Linked DNA regions of Elephas maximus indicus. The protein of the gene in region 1 interacts with the protein of each later gene in a pairwise test. Links are inferred from orthologs where the notes say so. Each region holds a gene or a part of one and is shown on either strand. Other genes may lie near its edges.

Evidence for each region.
Region 2: the proteins of FURIN (region 1) and MARCHF2 interact in a protein complementation assay, tested with the Homo sapiens proteins (2 studies listed by BioGRID). The link is inferred for Elephas maximus indicus from reciprocal best matches to the Homo sapiens genes FURIN and MARCHF2.
Region 3: the proteins of FURIN (region 1) and MARCHF1 interact in a protein complementation assay, tested with the Homo sapiens proteins (2 studies listed by BioGRID). The link is inferred for Elephas maximus indicus from reciprocal best matches to the Homo sapiens genes FURIN and MARCHF1.

What each region holds. Positions count from the first base shown.
Region 1 is NC_064831.1:75,239,722-75,247,615, reverse strand, and holds the start of FURIN (furin), read right to left. Parts: upstream 3,463-7,894; 5' UTR 3,361-3,462; exon of another isoform or gene 3,353-3,360; intron 1-3,352. UniProt on the Homo sapiens protein: Ubiquitous endoprotease within constitutive secretory pathways capable of cleavage at the RX(K/R)R consensus motif. Mediates processing of TGFB1, an essential step in TGF-beta-1 activation.
Region 2 is NC_064821.1:13,132,185-13,139,848, forward strand, and holds the start of MARCHF2 (E3 ubiquitin-protein ligase MARCHF2), read left to right. Parts: upstream 1-4,467; 5' UTR 4,468-4,593; intron 4,594-7,664. UniProt on the Homo sapiens protein: E3 ubiquitin-protein ligase that may mediate ubiquitination of TFRC and CD86, and promote their subsequent endocytosis and sorting to lysosomes via multivesicular bodies.
Region 3 is NC_064831.1:13,917,462-13,925,235, forward strand, and holds the start of MARCHF1 (E3 ubiquitin-protein ligase MARCHF1), read left to right. Parts: upstream 1-4,577; 5' UTR 4,578-4,656; coding exon 4,657-4,847; intron 4,848-7,774. UniProt on the Homo sapiens protein: E3 ubiquitin-protein ligase that mediates ubiquitination of TFRC, CD86, FAS and MHC class II proteins, such as HLA-DR alpha and beta, and promotes their subsequent endocytosis and sorting to lysosomes via multivesicular bodies.

The DNA of each region.
Region 1 (7,894 bases):
TCCGACCCGCCGCGCCACCCATGCCTCCCGGCTCCGGCCCGGCGATCGGAGCAGCGGCGCCGCGCACCCCAGCGCGCCGGGCCCCAAGCGGCGGCCCCGCGGCCTTCTGGGGCGCCTCGCTGCCTCCGGCTCCCGGCAGGGGCAGGTAGGAAGTGGGGCCGGTGATCCCAAAGCCGTCGCCGCCAGCCGGCGCGTCGCCCAGGCCCGGCTGTCTGCGCCCTGACCCCTAGGCTCGGCACTTCGCGCCACGAGCTCCCGGGCAGGCGGTCACGGAGACCCGAACCTGGAACCCTAGGGATAGGAAGGGCTTGGGGAGTCCTTGTGAGCCCAGCCTCGGCTGGATTCTGGGCGGCGGGGAGAAAGAGGGAGGGCTGGCCCCCTCCTCCTTCCACAATCCCACTCCTAGAGCCCTGAATTTGGACGGGGCTGGTTTAAGTACCCAGAGGTACCCCACTCCGAAGTCGGACTTGATAGCGGCAGGACGAATCTCCCCCAAGGCCTTCTGAAAGAAGAGTCACGATTTTATTTGTGTTCATGTAGACAGGTGAATAAGCAGAACAAGTAGCCTACCCCCTTTTAATTTTTTTTTTTTTAACTTTTTTAAATAACATCAACCACGTGCCAGGCTCTGGGCCAGGCACTTCACATTATCTGCTTCTTATGTACATTATTAAATCTATATAATCCTTTCAGGCTGACATTATTAATCCCATTTTACAGATAAGGAAACTGAGGTGCACAGTTAAATAATTTGTCTGACGTCCCACAATTAGCAGCCTTCAGAGCCTGAAAGAGACCCTGAATCCAAGCTCCTTGCAATATACCAGGTGGCTCCTCTCCCTGGGTCCCTGCCCTAGAAACCCTAGAAACCGTCTGTGCTACTTGGCTGAGGCTGCCAGGGCTTGAGCTGAGAAAGAAAAGATGGGAAATGTGGCTAAGAGTTCCCCGGGCTGGGTTATTCCAAGGTTGGGGAGCAGCCTCTGCCCATACCTTCCTGCTCCCTGAGAGAGAACCTGGCTTCAGCATAATCCTGTGGCAAAGAGCCTAGTGGCCTGAACACAGGTTCTGAGATGATGATGAAAGTGAACACTGCTGAGTGCTCACTACCAGCCAGGCGCTGCTCGCTTGTCCTAACCACAAACCCCACGAGGTGGGTACAAGTACCTTTGACTTTTGGTACCATTTATGCATTAAATATCTACATTTTTACAGAGGAGGAAACTGAGGCCTGAGAGGTTAAATGACATTTCTAAGGGAACTATGTGATAGTCAGCTAGCAAACCTGTGTTCAAATTCCCGTAGCGCTGTTTTATACTTAATTTCTTAGAGCCTCAGTTTACCCCTCTGTAAGGTGAAGATAACCAGTTGCTGAGGACTCAGTTTCAACTCATGGTGACCCCATGCGTGTCAGAGTAGAACCAGGCTCCACAGGGTTTTCAATGGCTGATTTTTCAGAAGTAGATGACCAGGCCTTTCTTCTGAGGTGCCTCTGGGGGGACCCATACCACCAACCTTTAGGTTAATGACTGAGCATGTTAGCAGTTTGGACCACTTTAAACAAACAAACAAACTTATTGCCACTGAGTTAATTTTGACCCATATTAACCCGATAGGACAGTGTAGAACTGCCCCATAGGGTTTCCAAGGCGAAGCTGGTGGATTCGAACTGCCGACGTTTTGGTTAGCAGCTGAATACTTAACCACCAACCGCCTTGGACACCAAGGCTCCAAAATGAAGATACTGTGTTAACGAGATAACGTATCATTTGGGCACCCTTACAAACACTGCGAAAACTGGAAGCTTGGGGAAGAATGTGTGATCGTCAAAGTTGATCAGGGTGATTGGTCTGATTGGGCCGCTCCCCAGCTAGAGGTTTCTCCCGACAGAAGAGCTAAGTAAGACTCCTAGGGACCACCCTGGAAGGGTGCCACACTGGGGTAGATCCCACCAGCAGCACCAGCCACAGTTGGACCAACAATACTTTTGTAGTCAGACAGAGACAGGAAGTGAGTCACAGTTTTTCCTTAATCTGTGAGCAAGAGAACCTCATTGAGGGGAAATAGGGACAGGGCTGGCCCCACCTAGCTTGAGAGTCCCCAGTGTACTTCCCACTTGCCCTCTGGCCTAGGAAGGTCAAGCCAAATAGAAAGCAGTATTGGCTGCCTCCAGTGCCCCACCCATCCTGGAGGCTGGCTCCAGGGAACCAAAGTGGGTCTTTGAAGGAGGGGGAGCCTGTACTCAGATGACTCCCACCCAGGCAGAAGCACTGGACCCTCCCAGTTTCTCCCTGCTAGCCTACCCTCCCCCCTCCCCGCCCCCCCTCTTGGCAGGAGGCACAATTCTTTAGACTGCTTTGCTCAGAGAAGCATCACTGTGGGGAAGTGGGGGAGGGGACCTGGAGGTGAGCTCCTGTTCTTGCTTCACCCAGAGCTTTTCCCCTTTTGTCCCTCATATATTTTGGTGTGTCACATAATGTATTTTTACTACAGGTCTGCTGATAAAACAAATTTGAAATCCCCTCTCAGTGAGGCCCCAGTCCAGTGGGTCCTCGGAAGAGAATTGGGTCTTGCCCAGCCCGTGACTGCTAACACAGACTGCTAACACAGACTTCTTCCTTTGAAATAAGCCCTGTGGGCAGGTATTGTTCTTGTTATCACTTCCAATCCACTTATCTGAGGCCACAAGGCCCGAGGGAGCTAAACTGCCACTGGAGCCTGAGTCGCCTGACTGGGCGCCTCTGTAGTCACAGTTCAGCAGTTTTTCACTGCAGTTACTAGAATGGAGTGGGGGGCATGGGGTAAGTGACAAAAGCCTAGAGATGGGAGGAGGGATGACCCGGCAGGGAGAAGTGGGGCCTGAGGGGCAAGGCTTGGAGAAGGAGAGAAAGAAGAGGCTGTGAGGGGTTCTTTACTCCGCAGCAGGGCTGAGAGGAAAGAAGAGTCTAGCCAGCCAGGCCTCTTTTTATCCTAGGATGTGGGGCTAATTTGGGAAGCTGTCAAGAGTAACCATAGTCCTAAATGCACGCAGTTACCCCGACCCCAACTACTCCCACTGTCCCTTGCGGTGCTCTGGGGTTCCCCTTTCTCAAACACTCGTCCCCACTCTCAGGCACCTCAAACGAAGCCTTCAGCAGTAGCACCCACACCTGGTTTTAATCAAAATGTCTACACAATATTCATACATGTGTAGAAGGGCATAAGACACAGTTTAACTGGTGTTTTCTCTGAGATTTGAGAGCTTTTTGTTTCCTTCCCTTTGCTTACCTGTATTTTTAGGGATGTCTACAATAACATACTAATGAAAAAAATTAAACCTTCGAGTCAGGCAAAATTGAATAAAGCATGCCCATACTTCACCACCTAGCTCCAGAACACCTGGGATCCATCCAGTTCCTGTGACTTCCCCCTCTGGCTGCTGGTGCAAGGGTCAGGTTCCTCCTAACTCGTCACAGGGCAGGGCTTTTCCAGGTCTGGCTAAACCACTTTGGGAAAACCTTTATATGACAGACAACCAGGGTGTCTGTGGGTGGGGGGAGGAGCTAGAAGTGGCTTAGTGGTGACATATGTGGTTATGCTGGGACAGGATCCCAGCAGAGCCAGCCCTTCTCATTTTCCCATTTATTGGGGTGGGTCTGCGTGTACGTTTTACCAACTGGCGCCATGCATCCCATAGTCACTTGCTGGTTTAATGGTTCCCTTCTGCCAGCTCCATGTCTTTAGTGCCTAACCAGCACTACCACAATTAAACGCTCCCCCCGCCACAAAAAAAAAAAAAAAAAAAAAACCAGTTGTTGCCTTTGAATCGATTCCGACTCATAGCAGAATAGCATAGGAAGGAGCAGCTGATGGATTGGAACTGCCAACCTTTTGGTTAGTAGCCTAGCTCTTAACCACTGCGCCACCAGAGCTCTGTCCTACTACAATTAAAAAAAAAAAAACAAAAACCAAACACGTTGCCATCGAGTCGATTCCAACTCAGTGACCCTATAGGACAGAGCAGAACTGCCCCATATGGTTTCCAAGGAGTGCCTGGTGTATTCGAACTGCCGACCTTTTTGGTTAGCAGTCGTAGCTCTTAACCACCACGCTGCCAAGGTTTCCCTATCATGATTAGGCACCTAATAAATGCTCTGGGTCCAGTGCAGCCTGACAGGCATTCATTGAGCACCTGCTGAATGCTGGGCGCTGGTGCTTCTGAGCTGAGTCCCTTAGACCCAATGTCTGGTAGAGTTGGAAAGAGGTCCCTGAGATGTGCTAGGATCTTCCTGAACCTGAGATCTCCAGTGGCCCTGCAGTCCCAACAAGCCTGCTGCCCTTCCTTCTCCCTGTTGGTCTAGAAAAGTAAAGCAGCCAGTGATCATGATTTTTTTTTATTGTGCTTTAGGTGAAAGTTTACAGCTCAAGTTAATTTCTCATACAAAAATTTATACACATATTGTTAAGTGACCCTAGCTGCAATCCCTGTAATGTGACAGCACACTTCCCCTTTCCACCCCTGGTTTCCTGTGTCTATCCAACCAGCTCCTGCCCTTTTCTGCCTTCTCATCACACCTCCAGACAGGAGCTGCCCATTTAGCCTCATTTTATCTTCTACTTGAACTAAGAAGCACATTCTTCACGGGTATTATTTTATGTTTTATAGTCCAGTCTAATCTTTGAAGAGTTGGCTTTGGGAATGGTTTTAGTTATGGGTTAACAGAGAGTCTGGGGGCCATGTCTTCTGGGGTTCCTCTAGTTTCAGACCATTAAGTCTGGTCTTTTTACATGAATTTGTGTCCTACACAACACTTTTCTCCTGCTCCGTCAGGGACTTTCTGTTGTGTTCCCTGTTGGGGGGTCACTGGTGGTAGCTGGGCACCATCTAGTTCTTCTGGTCTCAGGCTGATGGAGTCTTTGGTTTTTGTGGCCCTTTTTGTCTCTTGGGCTAATATTTTCCTTGTGTATTTGGTGTTCTTCATTCTCCTTTGCTGCAGGTGGGTTGGAACCAATTGATGCATCTTAGATGGCCACTTGCTAGTTTTTAAGACTCAAAGGGCATTATTTTGAAAATGACTAACATGAAATAGCCCATTCCTTGACGATGCCAGATAAATGAGGGGTCATCGCAATACTTAAGAAAGAAACAGAGAGAAAAAAAGAAGAGAATGATCGTAGACTGCAAGGTTGGCCTAGGTGAAGGATGTGAAGGGATGCTAAGGAGAATCTGCTCAGGCACTAATCACCGAGGCCATCAAGATCCTGTCCTCTGGCCTTGGGAAGTGTCAACAGCCTTTCCGCTGGATGATGTTATCAAACCAACAAGTCTGGAATGGCATTATGAGGGTCTTCGGAAAATAAAATAACAAACGTCTTACTGTCTACCAGGAAAGGAACAGATGATTCTGGAAATTACAGGATCCTCCACTAACTTTAATCCCTAAAACAAACATTGCAAGGGAAAAAGTCAGCTAATACTTGGAGGAAGGCGGTTGCGTGGTACACCTGGGTTGCCAAGCGCGTTTATAAGAGCCTGCTGCCTGTGCCAGCCTGTACAATAAAGGTGCCAGCACCACTGAGGCCCAGAGGAGCACACTTGGCAGGGAGGGGTACCCAGGAGGGAGAACTGTGGGCAGCAAACACTGATGGTAGAAATACTACTTAGCTGGTAGGAGACCTCCACAGTGGTCAGAAGAGACCCTGAGTGGGGCGGTGGGGCGGGGGGCGGGGGGCGGGGGGGGCATGGACAGGAGTTGTGATGGAGATAAGTTATGGGTGATAATAAAAGCTTCTGTTTGTGGAGGGTTGACTGTGCACCAGTCAGTTCATTCACTCATTCCTCAGCTATTGATTGAGCGCCTATTGGGTGTCAGGACTTCTTCCAATTAAATAAGAGCCAAGACGCCAGCTCTCACGGCACTCAAGTTCTGGCGAAGGAGGCAGGCAACACACAGATAAACATGCTAATTTATAAGTTTAGATGGTGTTGTTATTGTGGTTAGCGGCCTCGACTCCCCCCTGCACAATGAATCTGACTGTTGTGATCCATACATTTCGTTTTTTTTTTTCTTGTTGTTGTGGAGAATATACACAGCAAAACATACACCAATTCAACTGTTTCTAAATGTAAAGTTCAGTGACAGTGATTACAGTCTTCCAGCCATACAACCATTCTCACCCGCCTTGTCTGAGGTCTTCCTCCCCTATTAACATAAACTCACTCCCCCTAAGGTTTTTATCTGTTCTTTTGAGTTGCTGTTGTCACTTTGATCCCATATAGATAGTTCCTTAAAAGAGCATAATGCTCGAGGCAGACATTCTTTACTAGGTAAGCTAAACTGTTGTTTGGCTTTAAGAAGACTTCAGGGAATATTTTGGTTTAAGATTTAAAGATTATCTCAGGGCAGTAGTTTGAGGGGTTTGTCCACCTTCCATGGCTCCAGAAAGTCTTGAGTCCATGAGAATTTGAAACTGTTTTGCATTTTTCCCTTTTCCATCAGGATTCTTCTATGGAGTCGTTGATCAAAACGTTCAATAATGTTAGCTGGGCACCATCCAGTTCTTCTGATGTCATGGCAAAGGAGACAGTTGTTCACGGAGACAATTAGCCACACGTTCTGTATCCTTCTATTTCTGGCTGTCCTTCATCTTCTGTTGCTCCAAGTGAGTAGAGACAAATTCTCATGGATCTACAGGGTTTTCATTGGCTGATTTTTGGAGGTAGGATCGCCAAACCTTTATTCCTAGTTTGCTTAGTCTGGAAGCTCCATTGAAACCTGTCCAGCATCATAGCAAGATGCAAGCCTCCATTGACAGACAAGTGGTAGTTTTGCATGAGGTGCGTGGGCGAGAATGGAATCTGGGTCCTCCACATGGAAGGTGAGAATTCTATCACTGAACCACCACTGCCCTCTAGATGATCAGAACCCAAACCCATCACTATTGAGTCAATTCCAACTCAGCAACCCTACAGGACAGAGTAGAACTGTCCCATAGGGTTTCCCAGGAGCAGCTGATGGATTTGAACTGCTGACCTTTTGGTTAGCAGCTGTGGCTCTTAACCATTGCTCTACCAGGCTCTAGATGATCATAAGTACTTTGGAAAAAAAAAAAAAAGTTATGTGACAGTGCCTGGGGGTGGAGGAGCACTGTCCCTAGGATGGTCAAGGAAGACCTCTTTGAGGAGGTTAAGGTCAATGGTACAAAGCTCTGGAGAAGGAGCATTCCAGGCAGAGGAAACAGCAAGGGCACAGGCCTGGTGCGGAAGTTTGTGCACATGAAGAGCAGAGACTTATTGGAGAGCAAAGGGAGAGGGCAAGGATGAAAGGAGATGAGGTGAGCAAGGTAGGCAAGGGCTAGATCGCACAGGGCTTGACAGACTGGGTCAGGATTTTGAATTCAGCTCTCAGAGCAGTGGGCAGTTTTGGGAGAATTTACCCTTTTTAAGGAGTCCCTGGGAGGTGGAAATGGTTAGTATACTGGGGCTGCTACTGAAAGATTGGAGGTTGGAGTCCATCCAGAGGCATCTCAGAAGAAAGGCTTGGTGATTTACTTCTAAAAAATCTACCACCGAAAACCCTGTGGAGCACAGTTCTACTCTGACATCCATGGGGTCGCCGTGAGTTGGAATTGACTATGCAGCTGGTTCACTGGTTTACCCTTTTTAAAAAGCCCCTCTGACTACTGTGGGGAGAAGGGATGTAGGAGGTGAGAGCCACAGCAGCCCTACACAGGAGACACCATTAGTGAACGTCCCAGTGTTACATGTGGGGGACAGGCTTGGGGGAAGTTGAATAACTTTGATAAACAGCAAGAATTTTGTGAGCTCTTGAATAGGCCTGAGAAGGGGGTACCACATGTTTGTCCTTGGAAGCAGGAACCCTGTTCTGGTAACAGAGCTATCAAGCATGGCCAGGCC
Region 2 (7,664 bases), on another chromosome or scaffold:
TGACTTGCCCAAGGTCTCACAGTCAGTAAGAACCAAGCAGGTATCAAACCCAGAGCTGTGTGCGATTGCTAAGCTATGGTGCCTTTCCCAATGTTTATTGAGTGCCTAATCCACGAGGCGCTCCTTGGAAACTCTTTGGGGCAGTTCTATTCTGTCCTATAGGGTCACTATGTATTGGAATTGACTTGACGGCAATGGGTTTTTGGTTATATCATGGACTAAGGAGTCCTGGTGGTGCTCAGCTGCTAACTGGAAGGTCGATGGTTAGAACTCACCAGCCGCTCTGCAGGAGAAAGGTGGCAGTCCGCTTCTGTGAAGATTACAGCCTAGGAAACCTCCTGGGGCAGTTCTACTCTGTCGAAATCAACTCGACGGCAATGGGTATATATATAGATATATTTGCCGTTGATATATATATATATATCACGGACTGCCAAGAGAACAAGTCAGAAGAAATGCAACCAGAATGCTGCTTAGAAGCGAGGTTGGTAAGACTTCAGCTTGCTTACTTTGGATACATCATCAGGAAAAGACTGATCTATAGGAAAAGATATCACTTTTGGCAAAGTTGAGGGTCATCAAAAATAATGGAAACCCTCAATGAGATAAATTGGCACAATAGCCACAACGACGGACTCAAACATACCAACGATCATGAAGATGGTACAGAATCAGAACAATGGACTGAAACGTACCAACAATCATGTCGATGGTACGGAACCAGAAAATGGACTCAAACATACCAACGATCTTGGAGATGGTACAGAACCAGGCAAGGTTTTGTGCTGTTGTACATAAGGTCATCATGAGTCAGAGCCGACCAGATGGCAACAACTATGGGCCAGAAGGTTCTCACAAATGGGGAAAATGACCAGATAAAAGGCTGGAAAGAAGTACACCAAAACTTTAAAAACTTTTATGATGGAAAATTTTAAACATATAAAAAATTTTGCCCTGGGTGGTGCGAATTGTTAAGCACTCGCTGTTAAATGAGAGGGTGGTGATTTGAGTTCACCCAGAGGCGTTTAAAAAAAAAAAACCCGTTGCTGTTGAGTGGATTCCAACTCATAGTGACCCTATAGGACAGAGTAGAACTGCCCCATAGGGTTTCCAAGGAGTACCTGGTGGATTTGAACTGCTGGACCTTTCAGTTAGAAGCCGAGCTCTTAACCACTGCACCCCCAGGGGTCCCCCAGAGACAGTAAGAGTCTAATAAACCCCTTATATGTTGAGCTTCAACATACCAATCTTGTTTCATCTGTACTCCCTATTCCCCTCCCATTTGCAAATCCCAGACACAGTCCTGCTAGAAAGCTTTCAGTACATGGCTGTAAAATTTAAGAACTTTTTGTAATGTAACCTCAATATTATCATACCTAAGGAAATGAAGAATAAAATAGTTCCTTAATATTATCAAATGTCGAGCCAGTGTTCACATTTGTCTGACTGTCTTATAATTTTTTGAATGATTTGTTTGAATCAATGTCAAAACATAGTCTACACATTCTAACTGATTTAAGACTTCAGTTTTTATAACCTACAAATTCCCCTTGTAGCTCTTATTTTTCTGGCCTTGATTTTTTTTTTTTTTTAAAGAAATTAGTCATTTGTCCTGTAGTTTCTCAGTCTGAATGTTGCCAGTAACCTCCCTATGATGTGTGTGTGTTTTCTTTTTCTAGAAAAAATTGAGAAATTTCACGTAACATAAAAATTTACCATTTTAACCGTTTTAAAGTATACAATCAGTGTGTTTTAGTATATTTACAATGTTGTGCACCATCCCCACTAAGTCTAGAACGTGTTCACTACCAAAAAGAAATCCCATATCCATTAAACTATCATTCCTCATCTTGCTTCCTCCATTCTTTGGCAAGTACCTGGAAACCACTAACCTACTTTCTGTCTCTATGGACCTAGGATGTCATTTAACATGTCCCTTTGTCCTCTGCATTTCCTGCAAATTAATAGTTAGATCTAGTGGCCTGATGAGGTTCAGGTAGTGCCGTGTATGTACTCTGTTGTTGTTTGCTGATGTCCAGTTAGTCCCCGACTCATGACGTCCCCAAGTACAACAAAATGAAATGCTGCCCAGTCTTGTGGCATCCCCATGATCTGTTGCGTATTGGACCATTGTGATCCACAGGGTTTTCATGAATCGATTTTAAGAAATATGTTGCCAGGCCTTTCTTCCTAGTCCATCTTAGTCTGGAAGCTCCTCTGAAGCCTGCTCAAATATTTTCATAGCAATACGCAAGACTCCTAGAGGAGTGGGTGGTGGCTGTGGATGAGGAGCATTGGCCAGGAACGGAACCTAGGTCTCCTGCATGGGAGGTGAGAATTCTACCACTGAACCAACCCTGTCCCCACGAAAGCCTCTTCTAGATTGCCTCTACTGGCACTATCTTGATCCCACTGACCATTGCCATTAAGTTGATTCCCACTTCAATCAACCCTATAGGACAGAGTAGAACTGCCCTGTAGAGTTTCCAAGGAGTGGCTGGTGGATTTGAACTGCTGACCTTTTGATTAGCAGCTGAACTCTCAACCACCGAGCTCCCACTATCTTGATAACTCTTGTTCCCTGGTATGACGAGATGACCCAGCTCATTTTGTACATTTCCCGTCCCAGACCCAGAACCAGACATTTCCCTAAGGTTCCCTGGGATGGTATTTAGAGACCACAGTCTGAGTATTAGGAGTGCCCATTGCAACTAGGTCAGTCTTTGTTTCTGATCTTTTCAGTGGACAGAGCTAACAAAACAGTGGAAATGTTTTGTTATGGAGGTAAATTAAAAGGTAAAATAGATCATGATTATTCCCAACTCAAATTCAGTATCACGGGGTGTTTAATCAATCTTACATCTGTATCTCCTTTCACTCCCTCTGAAAGTCCCAGTTCTTGGCATTAACATAATTGCTTCTTTTCTTTATCCCCCTCTACATCCACAAGTTCAGAGAAACAATTTTAACACCACCAACAATAATAGAGTAGTGTATACAGTTGAATAGTGGTGTTTTAAAATCACTAGTTCATCTGTGTTGTTTTGGCACCAACTGGATATACAGGTTCATTTGTTTTATTTCAATTTTGTTTTATAGGGATTTCTTTAATTTTTTTATTTCGATTTATAGTTACATAAAATACTTGCATGATTGTGAAGTCAAATCTACAGAACAAAGCATATTTTCAATTAAAAAAAGTCTAGCTTCTATCCTTGTCCCCTCCATCCTATTCCTTCCCTCTATAGGTTACTATTTAAAAAACACTACAGTTTATCTTTCTATTAAAAACATTTAGAAGACAGTACCACACACCAGAATTTAACTGAGATAATGAAAACCAAACTCGTTGCCATGGAGTTAATATTGGCTCATGGCAACCCCATGTGTTACAGAGTAGAACTGCTCAATAGGGTTGTCTTGGCTGTAATCCTTATGGAAGCAGATTGCCAGACCTTTCTTCCACAGCACTGCTGTGCCACCCAGGGACCTAACTGAGATAATGGAGCTGATCTATATATTGATCAAGGTGGGGCAGAAGGGGAAGGAAGTATTAAGACAATTCTCCATCTTACCTCTGGGTTTTGGCATGTGCTGAACATGCGTCTGGGACTCTTTTTCCCTTTTCTCCTAGGTAATGTCTACTCATCCGTAAGGTGTCAGCTCAATTGCTTCTTCTGCAAGGAAATACTTCCCGACATCCCCCAGTTTTTCCATGTTCTCATAAGATGGTATATCCCCTCACTTACCACTTACACACTTGTGTGTGTGCTCTAAGTGAAGTCACTTACCACAATTTATCACATTTGTAGTTACTCATTAATTTTATAATTGGTTGATTAATGTCTGTGTCACTTCCTAGATTGAGGTCCATCATGAGGGCAGCAGTATATGTCTGTCTCACTCAACATTGTGTCGCCATCACTTAGCACAGTGCCTGGCTCATAATAGGCCTTTAACAAACACATACTGGATGAATCAATGAATGATTGCTGAATGAATGATTTAGCTCTAGGTTCCCTCCACGGTCCTCTAACCTTTCCAGACCTCTATTTTCTCCTCTGTAAATGCAGTTATACTGTCTCTCCCTCCCCCGAGTTGATAAGAAGCGTAAGGGATGTGATGAACATTTATAAGTAGCTTATTGCCGGGTGTCACGCGGCGTTCTGCAACGGTTTTATTACGAGTTTAAAGCACTGTGCGTCGGCAGGTGGCGTTGCCAGCCGCGCTCTGGTCGGTGGCAGGAATGGGGCGGGGCCAGGGATGGGGGCGGAGCCGGAGTTAAGGGGCGGTGCCGGGACGCGGCAGGGGCGGAACCAGCAGCTGCGGCGCAGTCGGGCCTGTGCGGCCCAGGATGTCCCTGTCCCCTCCGGCCCCGCCTCCCGGGGCGGGACGTGTGCGGCGATTGGCGAGAGCGAGCGAGAGGCGGTTGCTATTGGCCAGCGGCGCAGTTAGCTCGGCGGGCGGTGCCCGGACGCAGGTGCCGGCCAGAGCGGAGCGAGCGGCGCTGACGGGACGGGCCGGGCCGGGCCGGGACAGGGCCCGGGGTGAGCGGAGGGGCCTGCGCGGTCGCCCGGCCCGGCCGCGGAGCAGGTAGGCCGGGACGGCGGGAGGGGACGGGGGACGCCCGTCTGCGGGCCCGCCCGGATTCGAGGCCCCTTGCGCGCGACAGCCGGGCTCGGACCCTCGGCCTTGGCCTCCCACTGGACGCCGGGGCCGCCATTCCCGTAGCGAGGGCGGCGAGAGGCTCCTGGAGCTCGACACACAAGTAGGCGCCTCGCAGAGCCTCAGTTTCCTTTTCTGTGAAACGGGGTCGGGAGTACCCAGGAGGGGCGCATGTGGAAAGTGCCCGACACACCGTAGGTGGTCACCAAGTGGTCAGTGACGTCCCCATCTTGCCCCTCAGGGGCTAATAGTAAATATAATGTGTCGGCACTGTGACAGAGTGGCCAGAATTTATATTATCCACTCACTCAGCCCTCTAAAGGAGTCTTGGTGGCGCAATAGTTAAGCGCTCCGCTGCTAACCCAATGCTTAGTGGTTTGAACCTACGCAGCGGCTCCGCGGGAGAAAGACCTGGCAATCTGCTCCCGTAAAGCTTGGAAATCCTATAGGGTAGTTCTACCCTGTCCTATAGAGTTGCTATGAGTCAGAATCTACTGGACAGCACCTAACACAACAATGTCCTCTAGGAACCGGAGGAGAGGGAAGTACTAGAAGTCTTCTTTGTTTTACAGATGAGAAAATGGAGGCTCAGAGAGGTTAAGACTCTTGCACAGGGCCACACAGCAAATAAGGAGGAGAGCTGGAATTAGAACCTGGCCCCAGATGCAGGGCCAGAGAAGTAGTGAAGAAGGCATCGATGTCTTCCTCTCTGTGGCCACAGGGCACACAGGAGCCCCTTGGTAGTGAGTGAAGATGAATGAATGCATTTTGCTGGCTCCACAGCTACCCTAAAAAATTATACCGGTTAACATTTATTAAGCCCTGGTGGCACAAGGGCTCGGCTATAATTGAAAATTCAGTGGTTCAAACACACTCAGCAGCTCTCCAGGAGAAAGACCTGGCGACCTGCTCCCATAAAGATTTCAGCCTAGAAGACCCTATGGGGCATTTCTACTCTGTAATACATGGGGTTGCCGGGAGTCAGAAGTCAACTTGACAGTACACAACAAAGCATTTATTGAGCACTTACTGTGTGCCAGGCACTGACTGTGCTTCTCATCAAGCCTTCCCAACAGTTCCTGAAGGTAATGATGTAATTATAATAAGAGCTAATGTTTACTGACTTAATGTTTACTGATTTATGAGCTAGGTAACATTATGACCCCATTTTACAGATGAGGAAACAGGCTCAGAGGGTGAAGCAGTTTGTCTGAAATCACTCTGTGGGGAGTTAGGGCCCTCTGAGTCCTCTTCCCCCAATTCCCTGCCCTCAGGAACAGGAGGCTGGGGAGGAGTGGAAAGGTTGTGGCACCCCAGTGTTACCTCAGATGTAGCTGAGGGAGAGTGAGCTTCACAGTCCACCGACTCCATCAGGTTATTTTACAAAGGAGGAAGATGAGGCCCAGAGAAGCTAAGTGAAGTGTCCCAGTTCACACAGCATCAGTGGCAGAGCCAGGACTCAAGAAACCCAGGCCTCATGAGCCCCAGACTCACTCGCTGGACTGTCCCTTCCTGGCTGTGTGCCCTTGGGCAAGTAACTGCACCTCTCTGGGCCTCAGTCTCCTCCTCTGTCAAGTGGGGGCAATTATACGACTTGCAGGTTTGTTGTGAAGACTCAGTGAAATCTATCTCCAGGGCACTGGGCTAAGTCTGCCCAAGGTGTTGGCTCATTCTCCCATCCTAGCAGACCCAAAGTTGAGTCCAACTTGCAGCCGCCCCTATCCTGACACCCAGCCTTGAGTATGGCTTTGTGCAAGCCTCTGTAACTCATTTGGACCTCTAGCCTCTAAACCTCTCCGATTCCCACCATGGAGGCTGGCACACTAGGATCTAGGGTCAAGGGATCTGTTTCTCCCGCTCTGTTCTTATACAGAGTACCCATACCCATTGCTGTCAAGTCGATTCCAACACATGGCGACCCCATGTGTTACAGAGTAGAACTGCTCCACAGGGTTTTCTTGGGTCTTTATGGATCTCTATGGAACCAGATTACCAAGTCTTTCTTCTGTGGCACTGCTGGGTGGATTCGAACCTCTCACCTTTAGGTTAGTAGATGAGTGCAGACAGTTTGCACCAGAGTAGGACCTGAGAAATTAATACAGCAACTCTGTGCCAGATGGTGTCAGGTGCTGGGGACAGTAGGGACCAAGTCCAACATAGTCCCTTCACAGAGCTCACTGAAGAGTGGGAAGACAGACATAGTTGACAAGGAGACAAATAAGAGCCTTTCAGAGGGTGGCCTGTCCTCTGAAGGGAGTAATCTGAACTCTGGTGACACTTTAGCCAGGGTGGTTGGGGGAGGCCCCTCCAGGGCAGTGACTTTTGAAGGGGACACTTATAATAACCGTGTAGAGTTTTTAGTGAGATGATTAATATATAAGCAGTTTGCTTAGCGCAGCACCTGGCATGCCAAAAGCTGAACCAAACCGGTTGCCATCGAGTTGATTCCAATTCGTGGTGACTCCACATGTGCGGAATAAATCTGTACTCCATAGGGTTTTCAAGGCTGTGACTTTCCAGAAGTGTATTACCAGGCTTGTCTTCCGAGGTACCGCTGAGTGGATTCGAACCATCAGCTTTTTGGCTAGTAGTCAGGCACTTAACTGATTATGCCTCCCAAGGATTCCTGCGTGGCATACAGTAGGTACTTAATAAACAAGGTTGTTGTTGTTGCTCTTATTCACTGTCTAGTTGGCTCGGACTCATGGTGGCCTTATGTGTAACAGAATGAAACATTGCCTCGTCCTGCACCATCCTCACAATCGTTGCTAAGTTTGAGCCCATCATCGCAGCCACTGTGTCAATCCATTTCATTGAGGTTTTCCCTCATTTTCACTGACCATCTCTCTACTTTGCCAAACATGATGTCCTTTTTTTAGCAATTGGTATTTCCTGATGACGGATCCAAAGTAAGCAAGACAAAGTCTTGCCGTTCTCACTTCTAAGAAGCATTCTGGCTGTACTTCCTTCAAGACTCTTTAATAAACAATAGCCGCTAT
Region 3 (7,774 bases), about 61 Mb from region 1:
TGCTTCTCCCTGTCTGGCACACTCAAACTCACCCTTTCTAGGTCAGGCATCATTTCCTCTGGGAAATTTACCATTAACCCCTGCTCCACTCTACAGTAGATGCCCTTCTTTCACCAAAACTTCCACTACTGGACTCTATCAGGGTATAGACCCATGGTGGTGCAGTGGTTAAGATTTCGGCCACTAACCAAAAGGTTGGCAGTTTGAATCCACTAGCCACTCCTTGGAAACCTTATGGGGCAGTTTTACTCTGCCCTATAGGGTTGCTATGTGTCGGAATCAACTTGATGGCAATGGATTTTTTTGTTGTTGTTTGTTTTGTTTTTGTCAGGGTACACTAGATTGTATTAAAATTTCCAGTTTGCTTATATCTTTCCTTCACTAAACAGGAAGTCCCTCCATGGAGCTATTTCTTTATTCTCATAGCCCAGTATAGTATCTATTACATCATAGACCCTAGTTCACATTTGTAAATTAAAGTAGAATTCATTTTATTTCAGTGGGTTTCCATAATAACAGTCTGCTGGTCAACAAATTCCGGTCTTAGTTTAGGTGCTAACTTAGTTCGATGTAGGTATTTTATCAGGGAGGTGACCCGAGGTACAACAACAAGAAGTGGAAAATTAAGGCAGAGAAAGGGGAAAAGCCAATAAAACGTATACTCATGAGCTGGTACAACTGGGCCTCGATGCTGCTTCGAATTCTTTGAGAAATTCTCTGGAAGTCACCTCAGAATTGTCCTTTTGGAAACTGGAGAAATTGGGGCATTTGTTCACTGACTCCAGTTCCAGTATTGTCCTCAGGGGCTTTAACTTACCCCACGCCTTCAGACTGTGTCAGTGTGAAGGGACACAAGGGCACATGACACCAGAAAAGACCTGGGCAGAGAAACAGAGGCACAGGCACTGATGGGGAAAGCAGTCAGCGCATAGGTGAACTTAGAGGAGGACCAAGGGTATGGGCTGGAGATCAACAGTACCTGCTACAGTAGCTCGCCAGCAAATTAAACATGTATAAGCTAACACTGGATTTAAGCTATTTAAAGATTGTTTATGGGCAACAAGGAATGGCTTCTATTCTCTGCAAAATACTTAAGGGTTATAGACATAAAAACTACTTGATTCAGTGTCATGCTAGGCCAAAAACTCTCAAAGAAAAGCTGCATTAGAAATGTTTTTTAATGTCTGTGCTGTTATTCACTGATAAATCCTTTTCCCATTTTAAAACATATATTTGCTCAGACCTGTGAGATTATAAAAATTTGTCCTATTATGATTATATCTGCTTATAACATCTTTGCTTGTACATTCCAATCAGCTCTGACACACCATTAAATAGCCATGGATATCCCTTATGATGCTCAGTACAGTGGGTTCACATCAATGATAATTATCACTTATTATTAGCATCACATCAATGATAATGACTCCACTTTGGGGCTGCGTTGCTCTTTTAAAGAAGATGTTTAGTAATGAACCTCACAGATACCCTTTACTCAGTGCCTATTGTATTCAGAGCTCCTCACTGACCACAGTAGCTGCACTCAGAACAGGAGGTGCACAGTGAGTGTCATGAAACTTACTGTTTACAGAGCAGAAATGCTCACATTTTATAAAATTAGCTATATGTATATTCCAAGGATGCAGAGTGAGATGACGTTAATCTGTGGAAAAAAAAGAGTTGAAGAAAGTGAGTTTTGATACAGAATATTCAAGAAATTAATCAAGCATGGCCTGATGTTTGAAGATGAAAAAAATACACAGTGTTCATGAATTAGTAGATAGTAGTCCAAAAAGTGTAAATCAAAAACATGCAGATGTTTGTCTTATGGTTATTGGGAGATAAATGGCTGACGATAAAATAAATTGTATTTGGTAATTAAAAAAAAAGAAAATTCTTTGGTTCACAGTATATCTAGTTTACTATGTTGCCTTATGGATGTATTTGAACGAACGGATGAACAGATAGGCAAAAAAGTGAGCAAATACATATTAGTATATGCCAAACTACAATGTGTAGTATACTAGTACGGTATACACCATATACTAGCTTATGATACCAAATTATCTAATTTCTTCCTTACTATGCTTAAAGTTGAAATTTCTAACCTCATTTTATAGAGAAGGAAGAAGGCTCAAAGATGAAAAGTAATTTGCCAAAGTTCACAACAGGTGGCAGAGCCTTGACTCAAATGCAAGTTTCCATGGTTTAGTCCATTCTTTTCCATACAATGCAATTCTCAGTAATTGTAATAAGATCTTACTCCTGTTTTAAAATGTGCCTTTATATTTGTTGTAATGGAGTAATTGCTGTCAAGCCTGCTGTTGTCCATACTGGCATCAAAAACACTGACTGTATGTAATATTTTTCCTCCTAGAAACAGATAATAAAAAAGTAGAATAGAGAATAAAGAGATGTTACCCCTTTAAAAAAAAAAAAGCACGCAGATGTATGGCGGTGTATTAGAGCATGTTGAGAGTGTCATCCTTTCTGTGAGCACACTGGAATATTTTAATCACTTCTTTACTAACTGTTGTTTGACTTTAAGTGAAAGTGCCACCTCCTGTAACAGCTTCCTGTGGCTACCATAACAAAATACCACAAATTTGGGGGCTTAAAACAACATGAATTTATTATAGCTCTGGAGGTGAGAAACCTGACTCGGTTTCACTAAGCTAAAAATCAAGGTGTCCGCAGGGCTGCATTCCTTCTGGAGGTTCTAGAGGAGAATCCATTTCTTTGCCTTTTCCAGTTTATAGAAGCCGCCTGCATCCCTTGACTCAGGACCCCTTCCTTCATCTTCAAAGCCAGCGGTATAACACCTTCTCTTCTTTATGACTTCTCTTCCCAACCTTCGGTCTTTTCTCCTTCTGTCTCTGACCGTAACTCTACTGCCTTCCTCTTAGAAAGCCACGAGTATTTGTCTCACCTAGATAATCCAGGAGAATCTCCCCATATCAAAATCCTTAACTTCATCACATCTGCAAAGTCACTGTTACCATGTAAGGTAACATATTCACAGGGTCCAGGGATTAAGATGTGAACACCTTTACCAGTTAAATCAGTTGTCATCAAGTAGACTATGACGCGTGGCCACCCCGTGTGTGTCAGAGTAGAACTGTGCAGAGAGTTTTCAAAGGCCGGTTTCTCAGAAGTAAATCATCAGGCTTTTCTTTAGAGGCACCTCTGGGTGGACTCTAACCTCCAACCTTTCAGTTAGTAGCTGAGCAAGTTAACCATTTGTACCACCCAGGGACTCCATGGACGTTTGAGGAGACCATTACTCAGCCCACCACCCCTCCTTTTGAAAGTTTTTCTGACCTCTTGAGTTAGGATTAGTTTCTCTTTCTCTGTATCTCACAACTGTCTGTGTATATCTCTAATGAGGGAATTTGTAGAATGATTTTGAAATTTGAGGTCAGTCTCTCTACCGTTACTGTTATTTTCTTGGAGGCAATATGGTGTATTGCATCTACACAATCAAATAGGCCTGAATCTGGAATCATGACTCTCCTGGTTTCCTCCTGTGTGAAGGAAGAGAAGCTGTATTGCCTGGTGGATAAGAGAACAGATGTTGGACCCAGATTCCTGGTTCAAATGTCTGTTCTACCACCTACTAGTTTCCTCATCTGCAACATGAAAATACAGTATTTACCAAATAAGGTTCTTGTGAAAATCAATGAATAAATATACTAAAAATGCTTAGAAGAGTGAATGGCACATAATAGTCACTCAAAATTATTAGTTATTATCATTTCCCACTTATGAGATTATTGTAACAATTAAAGGCACAGTGGATTCGGGCACCTCACAATGCTTGGCACACAGTAAATTCTCAATAAATTCCAGCTTTTCATTTATTATCATCTTCATCTGTGTTAAACATAAAAGGATAATGAAGTTGAATACGGTGAAGAAGATGTTGTTCTTTCAAAGTAGAAATTGAGAGAAATGTGCTGAACATTGTACCAATAATCTGAATCGTTTCAGACTCTCTTAGACTCTAGGTGCCCTGGTGGTACAGTGGTTAAGCACTCAGCTGTTAAATGAAAGGTCAGCGGTTCAAACTCTAGAGAAAGATGTGTGTCAGCCTGCATCTGCAAAATTACAGCCTCAGAAACTCTCTGGGGCAGTTCTACTCTGCCCAGCGGGGTCACTATGAGTCAGAGTTGACTCAATGGCAACAGCTTTTTTGTTTTTTTAATACTCAGTATGGTAACGGTTAAAAGATATGAAAGGTCTATAGTGCTGTGATGGATAGATTTCATTTGTTTCAATGGCAAGTAGTAACAGCAATAACTATAGGCTTTTAAATACTGCAAAATATTTCCAAATATATTATCTCATATGATCTTGACCTAAATTAGTGTTAACTCCAGACAGTGTCACTGGCTAGTTGATTATTCTGGCTTCCCAGATTATTATCATTCTTGTGATATAGGATCTTCAAGTGCTACCTATTTGTTTCAGAGCAAATCGAGCCATTCAACTCAAATGTTTACAGTAAGTAGAACAGGAATTGTCTTCCTCTCTCACAAATGAAGCAACAGCAAAGTGGTACAGCTTCTCAGCTGTTCCAAGTTCCTCAAACAAGTTTTACTTTTGCAAACCAAACGCTCTAACTTCCTGTATTCTGTGAGCTGCGTTATAAGCAACATGACTGGCAGCCACATTTGTTGTAATTTTTTAAATATGTGGAAAACAAATAAAATATCAACTATGTATTACGTGAACCAAGATGCCAAATTATCTAACTTGTTTCTCCAGGCTAGCAGCCCAACGACAGGAACAGCTCCCAGGAGCCAGTCACGGTTGTCTGTGTGTCCATCTACTCAAGACATCTGCAGGTGAGTACTGAGCAAACGATCCTGTTCGATAGTTCTTTTAGACCAGTGTGTTACATTCCTAGTTTATGTTCTGAGGATGTGTGGCTCTTGCTTCTGCCTTACGTTGTCCATGGACAATTTAAACTGGCTTATTTTGTTTCCTTTATTTCATTTTCTTCAGTTGATCTTTATTTACTAACTTCAGTCCATACTCTCATTTTCATCTTTTTCTCTGTTTTTCCATGGCTCTCCTCTCCATTCCCATTTCTCATCCTCTGCCTGCTGCTTTGTCCAGATCTGCCATCTTGCATGACATGTCAGAAGATGCATTTGAACATTATACCCCTGTCGTGGTGCTGAGCTCTGCTAGAAAGGAGTCTGGTAAGAAACCATTAAAACAGAGGCCTAGGAGAAGGAAAAGGGCCTCAGAGAGATATGAGCATGCAGACGAACAAATGGAAGGGAGGAGAAATGATATGAACCTCCAAATCTTAAACCCCAGCTGGAGTGAGCTTCATGAAGATTCTTCAGATTCATCTTCCACAGATGAGAGTCATTGGATTCAGGCTAAAAGAAGAGCCCAAGTTAAGTTCAGACTGTCATGAAGGAGAAGGATAAATAATAATAGTAAGCCTTGTGGAAACTTGGGTGTGCCTTCCCCACCTAAAAGAACTGAACTTACAGATTTGGGAACCAAAGTTACAAAGCAACAAGGGCAGATCGAATGTGAGAGTTGCTTTATAAATCAGCGAAGAGGAGAAGGCACAAGGCTCCAAGAATGCAATCTTTCCCCGCCTAGAGAATCCTTTGAAATTAAGAGATACTCAAGGATTCATGAGGAAAACAAAGGTAGACACCACCAGAGAAACTCTCGGCTCTTGCCTAGTCTCAGGCAAAATGCAACAATCAAGAAAAGACTTTCAGAGAGAGATTCCAGCACTGAAATATTGGATGTTCCAGAAGCTGGCGAGCATGTGGATGATTCAGGGCTCCGGGTGAATAACTCTGTTCAGGAGCCTCCTGCCACCTGTGATGATGGGTCTGATAGTTTAGAAGTATGCAGGTCAGTCACTACTGAGAAAGACTTGATGTCCTATAACTGTATTTCTTTCTGCTGTGAGGTAGGTGTGTGTTTGACACCTACTTCCCAAACAAGACGTGTATCCATATTGCTCTTTGTGATTATTAAGCGAAAAATGAGAAAAGGTGGGTATGAGAAGAAGAATGCAGGGGTATCCATGGGTTTGCAAGCTGTTGCAGAATAGCATTAGATTTCCCCTTCTCTTTCTTTTAACTGAGGGAACTGAGAAACTAGGTGAGTCTTAAACCCATTCTAGTTAAGACAAGCATAGCGGAGGAAATCTGAATGAGAGTATATGAACCTCGGACTCGTCAATGAAAATAGGGTGAACTGTTAGCCCCCTGCCAGAAAGATATTCAGGGCTTGGACCCCTTCAGGTCAGATTTTTGTATCAGAAAGATTTCCTCTGCAGCTGGTGCTAATTTCTTCTCCAGTTGTCCGACTCAGCAGAGGGATTCAAGGCTGGAAGGACACAGAAACAGGGTATGGACATATCAGTGGGGTTACTGGAGCCTTTGGGGAAGAAGACCATATTAACTAGTCACGTAATAAAGGGTTTCCACTTGCAGAAATTTCATAGCTTATGAGACTGCTTACTTGCTCTTTTTACCCAACAGTATACATTTCAAAAGAACTGTAGGAATATCCATGTTGGTGTGCATAAATGAGACAATTTTAAATAAAACAAGTATGTTTAAATTCTCATATAACACCAAATCATTTAAGTTGATTGGATTTTGTCTGGGAACAAGTGAAGTTTTGTCGTACAGTGCTCGGTAGTTTGGGTTTGCTTTCTTAAGAGTTGAAGTTACTTTATAAACATATATGGTCATTTCATGTGAGTCAGGTGACCCAGAGGATGCTGGCCGTGGCACAGTAGGAGAAGAATTAAGCTCCTTATGTGAATCACACTAGAATGATATATTTCCCTGAAATGTTTCTAAGATGGTCGTTCATAAAATGTCCATTATTTTGTTCAACAAATATTTATCAAGCATCTCTTATGTATCGGGCATTATTCTAGACATGGAAAACAGTGCAGTGCAGAAGAACTGTATCGTTTCTGCTGCCAGAGACCTTACAGTCTAATGGAGAACACAGACACAAAAACGACTATTTCACAATTAATACCTAATTACAATTGTGTAAGGAATGTGGGAGCATATGACAAGGAGGCCAAACCTACTCAGGGAGATCAGAGAAGAACTCTGAGGAAGTGAGAAGCAGACTGAGGCTCAAAGGATGACAGGAGTTGATCAAGGAAAGAAGTGGGGGAGGGGCATCCAGGCAGAGAGTGCTAATAGCGTGAAGTCAGGGAAAGAGAAGGGCTTGACAATTCAGGGAAGTGAGAGCCTGCTATTGTGGCCAGGGTGTGGTGAGTGAGGGGCTGGGTGGTGGAGATGACAATGGGGAGGTGGAGAGGGGCCAGGACATACAGGGCAATGTTAAACAGGCCCAGGATTTTGAGCTCTATTTTTGAAACATTAGGATTTAAAAGGGAAGTAGTGCAATTTGGTTTTTATTTTAGTGTTTCTTTTGTACACGATTTTCGCTGAAAGAGTGGGCTAGTCTAGACTACTACTTCTGTTTCTAGTGTAAGAAATCCCCACTTGCAACCATCTATTGTCATTTCCTAAATCCGCTTCCAGCATAATTAAATGAAAGACAGCCAAAGGAGCAAGTAATGGGTTTAACGGCTATTGGAGACAAAACGATGCTTGCAATTAAAATCATAGTGACTGGCTCTCCTGTCTTAAAAGCATTGTTCTGGAGGAACATTTCCAAAGACAGGGTATTTAACCTTGACTTCTGTCAATGAACGTGCAATCAAAGGGACTATAGGTATTATTTCTTGCTGTGGGTTATC